Linked DNA regions of Canis lupus familiaris. The protein of the gene in region 1 interacts with the protein of each later gene in a pairwise test. Links are inferred from orthologs where the notes say so. Each region holds a gene or a part of one and is shown on either strand. Other genes may lie near its edges. The genes, in order: TOP3B and SPRED2.

Region 1 (4,275 bases):
CCAGAGAATGAGTCAGGAATCCTAAGGACTGGTTGTTGTTCTTGTAGATGAGGACTTCGGGGACCTGGCAGTTGCTGATGTGGCTTAAGATAACACATCCTGCAATGTTGCTGCCCCTTCCTGTGGAGGATACAGTGACCTTGTCTCTCAGGGATCTGACCTTGAGGCCAGCTGAGTCAGCATTGACTGGGCTTTGGCAAGAACGCTCTTGAGATCCCCCAGAACTGAGCACGCCGTGCCCCCTGCTGGGTCCAGGCCTCAGATCTTACCTCCTGGTGGGCAGAATGATCCCCAAATGGAATTAAAGAATAAAGGGGCTCTGGTGCTGCCTCTCTGCCAACTGGTCTCACCCTTTAAATCCAGTCTTAGACCTGACCGCTAGAATAGTGTGGGAAACAGACCATAGGGCGCAGAGTGGAGACTAGGAGACCAGGAGGGAGATGGGCTTGGGTCAGGATGGTGGCCGTGGAAGCAGGGAGGATTGATTGCATCTCAGATATATTTTGAAGACAGGGATGGCAGGATTTTCAGATGAGTAATAAGCGAGAAAAAGAGAGGAATCCAGGACGCTGTCAGACACTGGGCTTAAGCAACCAGGAAGATGAAGCTGCCATTTTGGAGACGGAGACCTTGCCAAGGAGTGGGTTTGGAATCAGTTCCGTTTTGAAAATGAGTCTCATTATGACTTTTAATTCTTGGCATTTCTCGACCTTAATTTGACCATAAGATGTTTCTTTGTCCAGAGCATCTTTCAGGGCTCCTACTCAAAAAAGGCAGATTGGAGAAAGAGCCTACAGGGAGCAGGGGAAATGTGTGTCTGCTATTACTTAAAACATATTTAGGGACACCATAAAAGATATTGAAATAAGGCCATGAAAAGTTTTTTAAGCCTTCCATAATCCTAATGCTTTAACACACAAAAAAAGTTGTTTTTATTGCCCAATTCATCTTCCAGATGGATTTTTTTCAGATAGATTTTATATTCATTCATTCGTTCATTCCACATTCGTTCACAGCATTAAAAAGAGTCGGCTATACGCTCATCTGCGAATTTGATTATTTTAATTATGAACAGCATATATATTTTCATATTTATCATTCCGTTTTTACGACCATTGTAACAGCTGCCTTTCTTGCTTTCCCGGTGGCGAAGAAGAGTAAAGGTGGGGGGTTTGGGGAGGCCGCGGGGAGGGGTCAGGAGGCAGGGCCGGTACCCGCGAGCCACGGAACCCGCGGACGCGGACGTGCGCGCCCCGGAGGACAGGCGAGGGGACGCCAGCCGCGGGGACGCCCGCCGCGGCCGGACCGGAAGTGGAGGCTGCCGAGTCCGCCCCCCGAGCGGAAGCTGCGGCGGGAGCCCCGGCGGGGGCCGCGGCGGGGCTGCGGGTGAGCGGCGGGCGGCGGGAAGCGCCGGGGAGGTGGGCCCCCAGCCCCGGGGCGTGGGAGAGGAGGCGGCGCCTCGCTTTCCCGCGCCCTGCTTCCCGGCGGGGGCGCCCGCACCCCGGGGCTGGCGGTGGGGGTGCCGGGAGGTGGTGAGGGGCGACCTCCATCGACCCTCCCGCGGGGCTCTGAGGTGCGGGCTGCGGCCACAGGTGGGGAGACGGAGGTGCGGGGGGCCGCCTGCCGCCCCGGGCCCGGCCCGGCCTTGAGGGCTCCCGGGTGTGTTTCTCCGAGTTGTTGGTGGACAGACTCGCCGGATTCAGTTCTCGCAGGTGAAAGGGAGGACTGGCCTTATCCTGCCTCTTTGCCACTCAGCCTTCGGGAGAGGACGTGGGAAGGTCCGCCCAGAGTGGGCTTGATGGCCACGGAGCCCCGAGGTGCCCCTAGAGCCGCGGCAAAGGTCGCCTGGGCCTCGGCCGCATTGTTCTGAGCCTCGGTCCGCTCGCAGTCAGAAAACTGCCCAGGCCAGCCTCGAGGCGTGACGGGCCAGGTTGGAGAGAGCGGCGGCGTGCGGAGCGGGGCTTGCGTGCAGAGGAGGGGCTTGCTCTCCGGACCCCGCGGCACCGGGTTAAGTGGCCAAGGTGGAGATCCTGCTCTCGGTGCTGTCTGCGCCACCGCTGGGCCTCCACCCCCAAGCCGAGTTCCGTTGTTCGTAAGACTGACAGGGGAGGACTTTGTGTACCGCGACCCCCGAGGGCACCCACCGTTGCTGATCCTGCTGCCGAGAGGAGAGTCCGCCGACGGCAGTAAGTGCCCACCTGACGCTCTCCCTTCACAGTTCCAGTGTGTGTTGTTTGCTGTCAACACGCCCTCAGCACTGGCTGATTCTCCCTTTTGAAATGAGAGAACCAACCTCAGATGCAGCTTTAGCAGGCGACGAGATCAAATTTGATGAACCACATAGGTTATGGAAAAGAAGGCGATCACATTTCCCTTTAAAAATAACAGACATTTAAGATTTTATTTATTTATTCATGAAAGAGAGAGAGAGGCAGAGACACAGGCAGAGGGAGAAGCAGGCTCCATGCGGGGAGCCCACGTGGGACTCGATCCCGGAGCTCCGGGGTCCCGCCCTGGGCTGAAGGCAGAGCTAAACCGCTGAGCCACCGGGGCTGCCTTAAGATTTTTTTTTTTTTTTAAAGATTTTTTTTTAAATTTTTTTATTTATTTATGATAGTCACAGAAGAGAGAGAGAGAGAGAGGCAGAGACACAGGCAGAGGGAGAAGCAGGCTCCATGCACCAGGGAGCCCGACGTGGGATTCGATCCCGGGTCTCCAGGATCACGCCCTGGGCCAAAGGCAGGCGCCAAACCGCTGCGCCACCCAGGGATCCCAAGATTTTTTTAAAAAGCAAAAACCTGGGACGCCTGGGTGGCTCAGAGATTGGGCGTCTGCCTTTGGCTCAGTTTAGGGATTGAGCCCCACGTCGGGATCCCTGTGAGGAGCCTGCTTCTCCCACTGCCTATGTCTCTGCCTCTCTCTGTGTCTCCCATGAATAAATAAATAAAATCTTTTTTAAAAAATGCAAACCCTTAAGTAATAACAGTACAGCAAAAGGGTTTTAAGATGGCATATGGTATAATGATGGTTTATAGAAGTTTGCAAACCACTGCTTTCAGCTTTTATTCTCATTGATTTCCCCTTTAAAAAAAAAAAAAAAAAGATTTTACTTATTTACTCATGAGAAACACAGAGCCAGAGGGAGAAGCAGGCTCCCCATGGGGAGCCCAACGTAGGACTCAATCCCAAGACCCTGGATCACGACCTGAGCCAAAGGCAGATGCTCAACCACTGAGCCACCCAGACGTCCCTGATTTCCCTTTTGAAGTTGGAGTGTGCCTTAATAGAAAAATAGGCCCCAAGATAACCACCGAAAATTAATCAGTTAAGACTGCAGAATTCTTTTAACAGGTAGACCCTGGTGCAGTTAAAAAAACAAAAAAGTATCTCATAGAGAAGCAGGAGTTTCAGCTCCAACTCAACAAACTTTCCAGGTAACCTTTGGAGAATCTCTTTCTCTGAGTCTTAATTTGTTCTTCCTTGAGACGTCTGTACCAGATCATCACCAGGGTCCCTTTCCCAGGATTCCAAATCCTTAAAGAAAGTCATACATTTTTCCCAGTAAATCAGTGATACTCAGATCATTACAAAGTCCTTATGCAGAACTGAACTATAAACTGTTGAACTAGAGCCAGAGCTGCTAAAGACCTACATGTAACAGTGTGGAACAGCAACTAGTCTGAGGTGGACAGGTGATCTGAAACGGGTATGGATGCCGGTGTGCCTTCGTGGGCGCTGTCGAGGTTTATCCCTAGCCCTGGATAAATGAGGTACTCCCTTTGAAGATGCTAGGACAAAATGTTTCTCTAAAGGGATCTGTAGAGAAGAATCTGTTATTTCCTGAAAGTGTTTAGGATCCTTAGGTACAAAGAAGAGTAGTAGAAATATAAAACTTCTAGAAATTTTAACACCATAGGAAAAAAGGACGTTGAGAAGTGTTTGCAGTAGTCCTATAGATGTAAAGTCTGTTTTTAAAATTTAGGTATCTAGGGCAGCCCGAGTGGCTCAGCGGTTTAGCACCACCGTCAGTCCGGGGTGTGATCCGGAGACCCGGGATCGAGTCCCACATCGGGCTTCTGCATGGAGCCTGCTTCTCCCTCTGCCTGTGTCTCTGCCTCTCTCTCTGTGTATCTCATGAATAAATAAATAAAATCTTAAAAAATTTAGGCATCTGTAAGTTTTTATTATTCACTTCACAGGTAAATTTTTTTTGATAGAGAAAACACGCACACATCAAAGCAGAGGGAGAGAATCTTTTTTTTTTTTTTAAGATTT
Region 2 (4,243 bases), on another chromosome or scaffold:
GAAGGGCCATCCTCCAACACGAGAGAGGTTTATTAAGTAATTTTTTTTTAATTTTTTTTCTTTATTTATGATAGTCACACAGAGAGAGAGAGAGAGAGAGAGAGAGAGAGAGGCAGAGACACAGGCAGAGGGAGAAGCAGGCTCCATGCACCGGGAGCCCGACGTGGGATTCGATCCCGGGTCTCCAGGATCGCGCCCTGGGCCAAAGGCAGGCGCCAAACCGCTGCGCCACCCAGGGATCCCTATTAAGTAATTTTTAAAATGTATTTGGGCTCACCTTTTAACCCAAGGAAGCCCATCATTTCTACTGAAATGCATTTGCATTTCTGAGCTGTGTTGGAGTTACCTTTTTTTTTTTTAAGTACAAATATCGATTCCTCGTAAATGTCCACTCCTCTAGCAAGACAAAAAAAAAAAAAAAATCACAAGATTCATGAGAAACTGAAAAGCCTCTGCCATTCGGAACCTTGGCAAAAACACCTGTGCCGCCTCCCCCCGCCTCCCGCCGCAGCGCGGGGGAGCTGGTCCTCCAAGCCCGAGCACCCCTGGGGCCTCCCCTGAACTCCGCGCCTCCGCCCCCGCCCCCCACCATCGTTAATCCAGGGGTTCGGATGGAGGGAGGGAACCAAACTGGAGCCAGATGTGCGCGAGCCCTCGGCTCCCTCCCGCCTCCTCCCTCCTCCCGGGCTTCTCAAAACCCGGAGCGTCGTCCGGCAGGGATCCGGAGCCAGGCAGACGCCGCACAAACAGCTCCGCTCCGCGGCTCCTCCGGGAGCGCCAGCCGGGAGGGAGGGGGCAAGGAAGCCGGGCATGCTCAGTAGGCGGGTCAAAGTTTTTTTTTTTTTTTTTTTTTTTTTTCCTCTCTCTTCTCCCTTTTTTTTTTTTTTTTTTCGGTCGCAAGTAGGAAGCTTTTTTGCACTCCACCACCTCTGGCCGCTGGGAAGACGTCATCGCTTCCGCCCTACTTCCTCCTCCTGTTGGCGGCGGTGAGAATCCAATATGGAGTAAATCGGCGGAGTCGGGAGATGGGGCTCGGACGGGGCGCCCTGCACCGCCTCCCAGGCGCACCTCCCCCGGCCGCCGGCCGCTCCCCGGAACCGTGATTGGCCCGGGCCCCGGGGGCGACCCCGGGCCGAGCCCCCGCCCGCGGCCGGCCCTCCCCCGGCCCCCGCAGCCCCCGCCGTGCACGGCGCGCTTGTTTTTCTGTCTCCCCCGCCGCCGTCCGCTGCCCGGGGCGCTCCCGCTCCGCCCGGGCCGAGCCCCCGAGCCCCTCCGGCCGGGCCCCGGGCGCCGCGGCGCGCGCCCCCTCCGCGCCCCCTCGCGCCCCCGCGCGCCCCCTCGCGCCGCCCCCTCCCCAGCCCCACCGGGCGGTCTCCGGAGATGTGAAGCCGGGGCTGAGCGCGCAGGAAGATGAAGGGAGCCGGGCTGCCCGCCGCGGGACAGGCGTCGAGGTGAACAGGAAAATGACCGAAGAAACACACCCGGACGAGTAAGTTCGGCTGCGGGGCGGGAGCGTGCCCGCGGGCGCAGCGTGGGGTGGACCTTGGCGTGGGCTGCGCGCCTGCCCCCTGCCCGCCGAGCGGGGAGGGGCGGCGCGGCCAAGGGCGCGCGGGTGACCTCGGGGCGCCCCCCCCAGATCTCCCGCGGCCGGGGCGGAAGGACCGGGCACCCCCGCTGCGGCTCCCCGGGGCCGGTGGGTTTTCCCGTGGGGGCTCCGCGGCTGCCGCCCCGCCGCTCGCCCCCCATCCCCGTCCCTCCCCATCCCCGTCCCGCCATCCGCATCCCCATCCCCGGTCCCGCAGGCAGCCCACCGGGGGCCCGGGCTCCGCCATTTCGTTTTTCTTGAATCGCTCTCATTTGCATACCACATTTTCATTCATAAAAAAAAAAAAAAAAAAACAACGCGGCGGAGCGGAGGGAGGACGGGGCGCGGGCCGCGCGGGGGGCCTGCGGGAGCCGGGGATCCCCGGGCGGGGCGCGGCGCGGCGGGGGAGCGGCCGGAGGGGTCCCGCGGCGCGTGTGAGCTCGTGTGCACGCGCCCTGGGGCTCGGGACGGGCGCCCCGCGGGGTGGGGGGGCGGACCCGAGGCGGGGGCTGCGGGGGCGGGCGGGGCGGCGTGCGCGCGTGCACGGGGTGCAGGGGGTGCAGGGGTGCGTGCCCGGCCCGCGGGCCCCAGGGAGCGGTGCTCGGGGCGCTCGGCTGGGGGGCCCCCGGGTGGCCCGCCGCCCCCCGCGGGCTCGCTCGCCCAGCCCCGGGCCGAGGTGAGGCTCCTGCAGCCTCGCGGTCGCGGAGTCGGAGCTGCCGTCCTCCCACCCGCGCCCGGGGCGCCCCGGTGCAGGGGGAGCCGAGGCCGGGCTCCTGGGCCCGGCGCCTGAGGTCGTCGGCCGCGGGTCCGAGCGGTCAGCGCTCGGCGGCCGTCCCCGCTGCTCAGTGGCTGTGCCCGCCACCAGCCACTTTTTTTTTTTTTTTTTTTTTTGTGAATAAGACGCTCTCCTTTATTGTCACATGATATCCCTCCCCTCCTCCCCTGCACATTCATAAATCCGGAGCCTGCCTCGGCTCCTTTCATTCAGAGCTGCCCTTAGCGAAGGTAGCAGTGGCGCGGGCTGGGGCGCAGAGCCGTGGGCGGCGCGGGGGCGCGGGGCCGTGGGGGCTGCGGGGGCCTCTGCTCCTGCGAGCCTGGACCGTGCCGAGGGGGGAAGTGACTCAGGGCTGGGTGACCCGGAGGGCTTCTCTTGCAGCAGGTGACCGAATGCTGTGCTCTACTCTTAAGAATCTACTTTTTTTTTTTTTTTTTTCTTTCTTTTTTAAATGCCCCTTTATCCTTTGGCGTCTGCTGTTGCCAGGCTGGGCGGGAGAGGGTGGGTGTTTGGGCAAAGGGACTTGCCTTCCCTTGTCCCCCCCCTCCAACCCCCCCCCCCCGCCCCCCCGGGGATGTTGGACTGCAGTTACCCCTGGTCTGCTAAGACACCTGCCGCTGGGGACCAGCCTGCCTGGAGCGCATGTCGCTGCGATGCCACCACCGCTGTTGATCTTTTTTAAAACGTTTTTTTGCCTTTGCCTTCATACACTGCATTTTGAAACTGTAAAATGGGGGGGGGGAAAAGTTGCTTTTGGGAGGAAGAGATATGCTGCTGGGCCTTGTTCCCTTCCGACTGGACGAATAGGCCAGTGTTTCTCTGGGTCTTCCTTTGTCCCTGCACACGCAAATAGCAGTAGTAGCAGGGAGGGACGGTGGCCTTGCTCTGGACGTTGGGATTCGTGTTGGAGATTGGTTCCACTAGCCCTGCGCTGGGGTCCTTGGCTTTATTCCCTTGGGAGTACTGGTCCGGCCTCTCCCTTTTCACTGCAGCATGGCAGCTTTGCGTCCTACCCCATCTGACAGCCAAAGCAAAAGGATTTGGGGTGGGATCATGAGCAAGAAATGACTACCTCTATTTCATGCTTTCAGAGCACTTGAGCTTGGAACTGGCTGCCCCACTGCTGTCAGAAGCCCAGTTGAGACAGTGGGTTTTGAGGACAGGTTCTGGTTTCAGTTAATCAGAAAGCTGTAGCGCCTTAGCCTACTGCAGAAATGGCCTTCCTGGGATTACTTTTAATGTAATGACCTTGGCATGAGACGTGAAATGTAAGCCGGTAAGAACACGGGCTGCATGGGCTGTTAACTGCCGTTTGTGGACACTGTCCATTGTATTGTTCAAGTTCTTATGTAATGACCCATCTGAAAAATGCCTTTTAAACATTAGTGCCTGGAAGAAGGTTTCTCTCTGGATTGCAGAGCTTGCTGTGATTGCCTTTTTGTTGTCGTTGGGTTTCTTTTTTTTTTCCTTTCCCCCCTTTTTTTTTTGCAACCATTGTCTGGAAGCTCAGAGCTAAAATTATTACTGGATTACAGTGGTCATAGTTAGCCTAGGTTTTTGCTAGGTTTATTTATTTCTCCTCTAGTATGAATTTTTATCTTTTATTTTCTCTTATAATGGCTTTATGTTTGGGGTCCTGCAGATAACCTTTTGGAAGTAGACCAGGTGTGTTTCATATAAAGAGATTTGGTGACCTCAAATTGGAGACCTTTGGGAGTTACAGTTATGTCTTAGGTATAATAGATTTTTTTTTTGAGAGTCCATATATATTTAAGTTTTTTGCTAAATGGTACAGAAATGTAATAAATACATTTAGCATCAGAGTACAAGAAGTCAGAATCTTGCAACTGGCAAAATTGTGCCGAATTTTAAAAACTAATAAA

What was found.
Region 2: the proteins of TOP3B (region 1) and SPRED2 interact in binary tests that used the Homo sapiens proteins (3 or more experiments, as listed by UniProt). The link is inferred for Canis lupus familiaris from reciprocal best matches to the Homo sapiens genes TOP3B and SPRED2.

Annotation. Positions count from the first base shown.
Region 1 is NC_049247.1:31,388,852-31,393,126, reverse strand, and holds the start of TOP3B (DNA topoisomerase 3-beta-1), read left to right. Parts: upstream 1-1,290; 5' UTR 1,291-1,386; intron 1,387-1,551; exon of another isoform or gene 1,552-2,186; intron 2,187-4,275. UniProt on the Homo sapiens protein: Releases the supercoiling and torsional tension of DNA introduced during the DNA replication and transcription by transiently cleaving and rejoining one strand of the DNA duplex.
Region 2 is NC_049231.1:66,165,425-66,169,667, reverse strand, and holds the start of SPRED2 (sprouty-related, EVH1 domain-containing protein 2), read left to right. Parts: upstream 1-1,320; 5' UTR 1,321-1,463; coding exon 1,464-1,489; intron 1,490-4,243. UniProt on the Homo sapiens protein: Negatively regulates Ras signaling pathways and downstream activation of MAP kinases. Recruits and translocates NF1 to the cell membrane, thereby enabling NF1-dependent hydrolysis of active GTP-bound Ras to inactive GDP-bound Ras.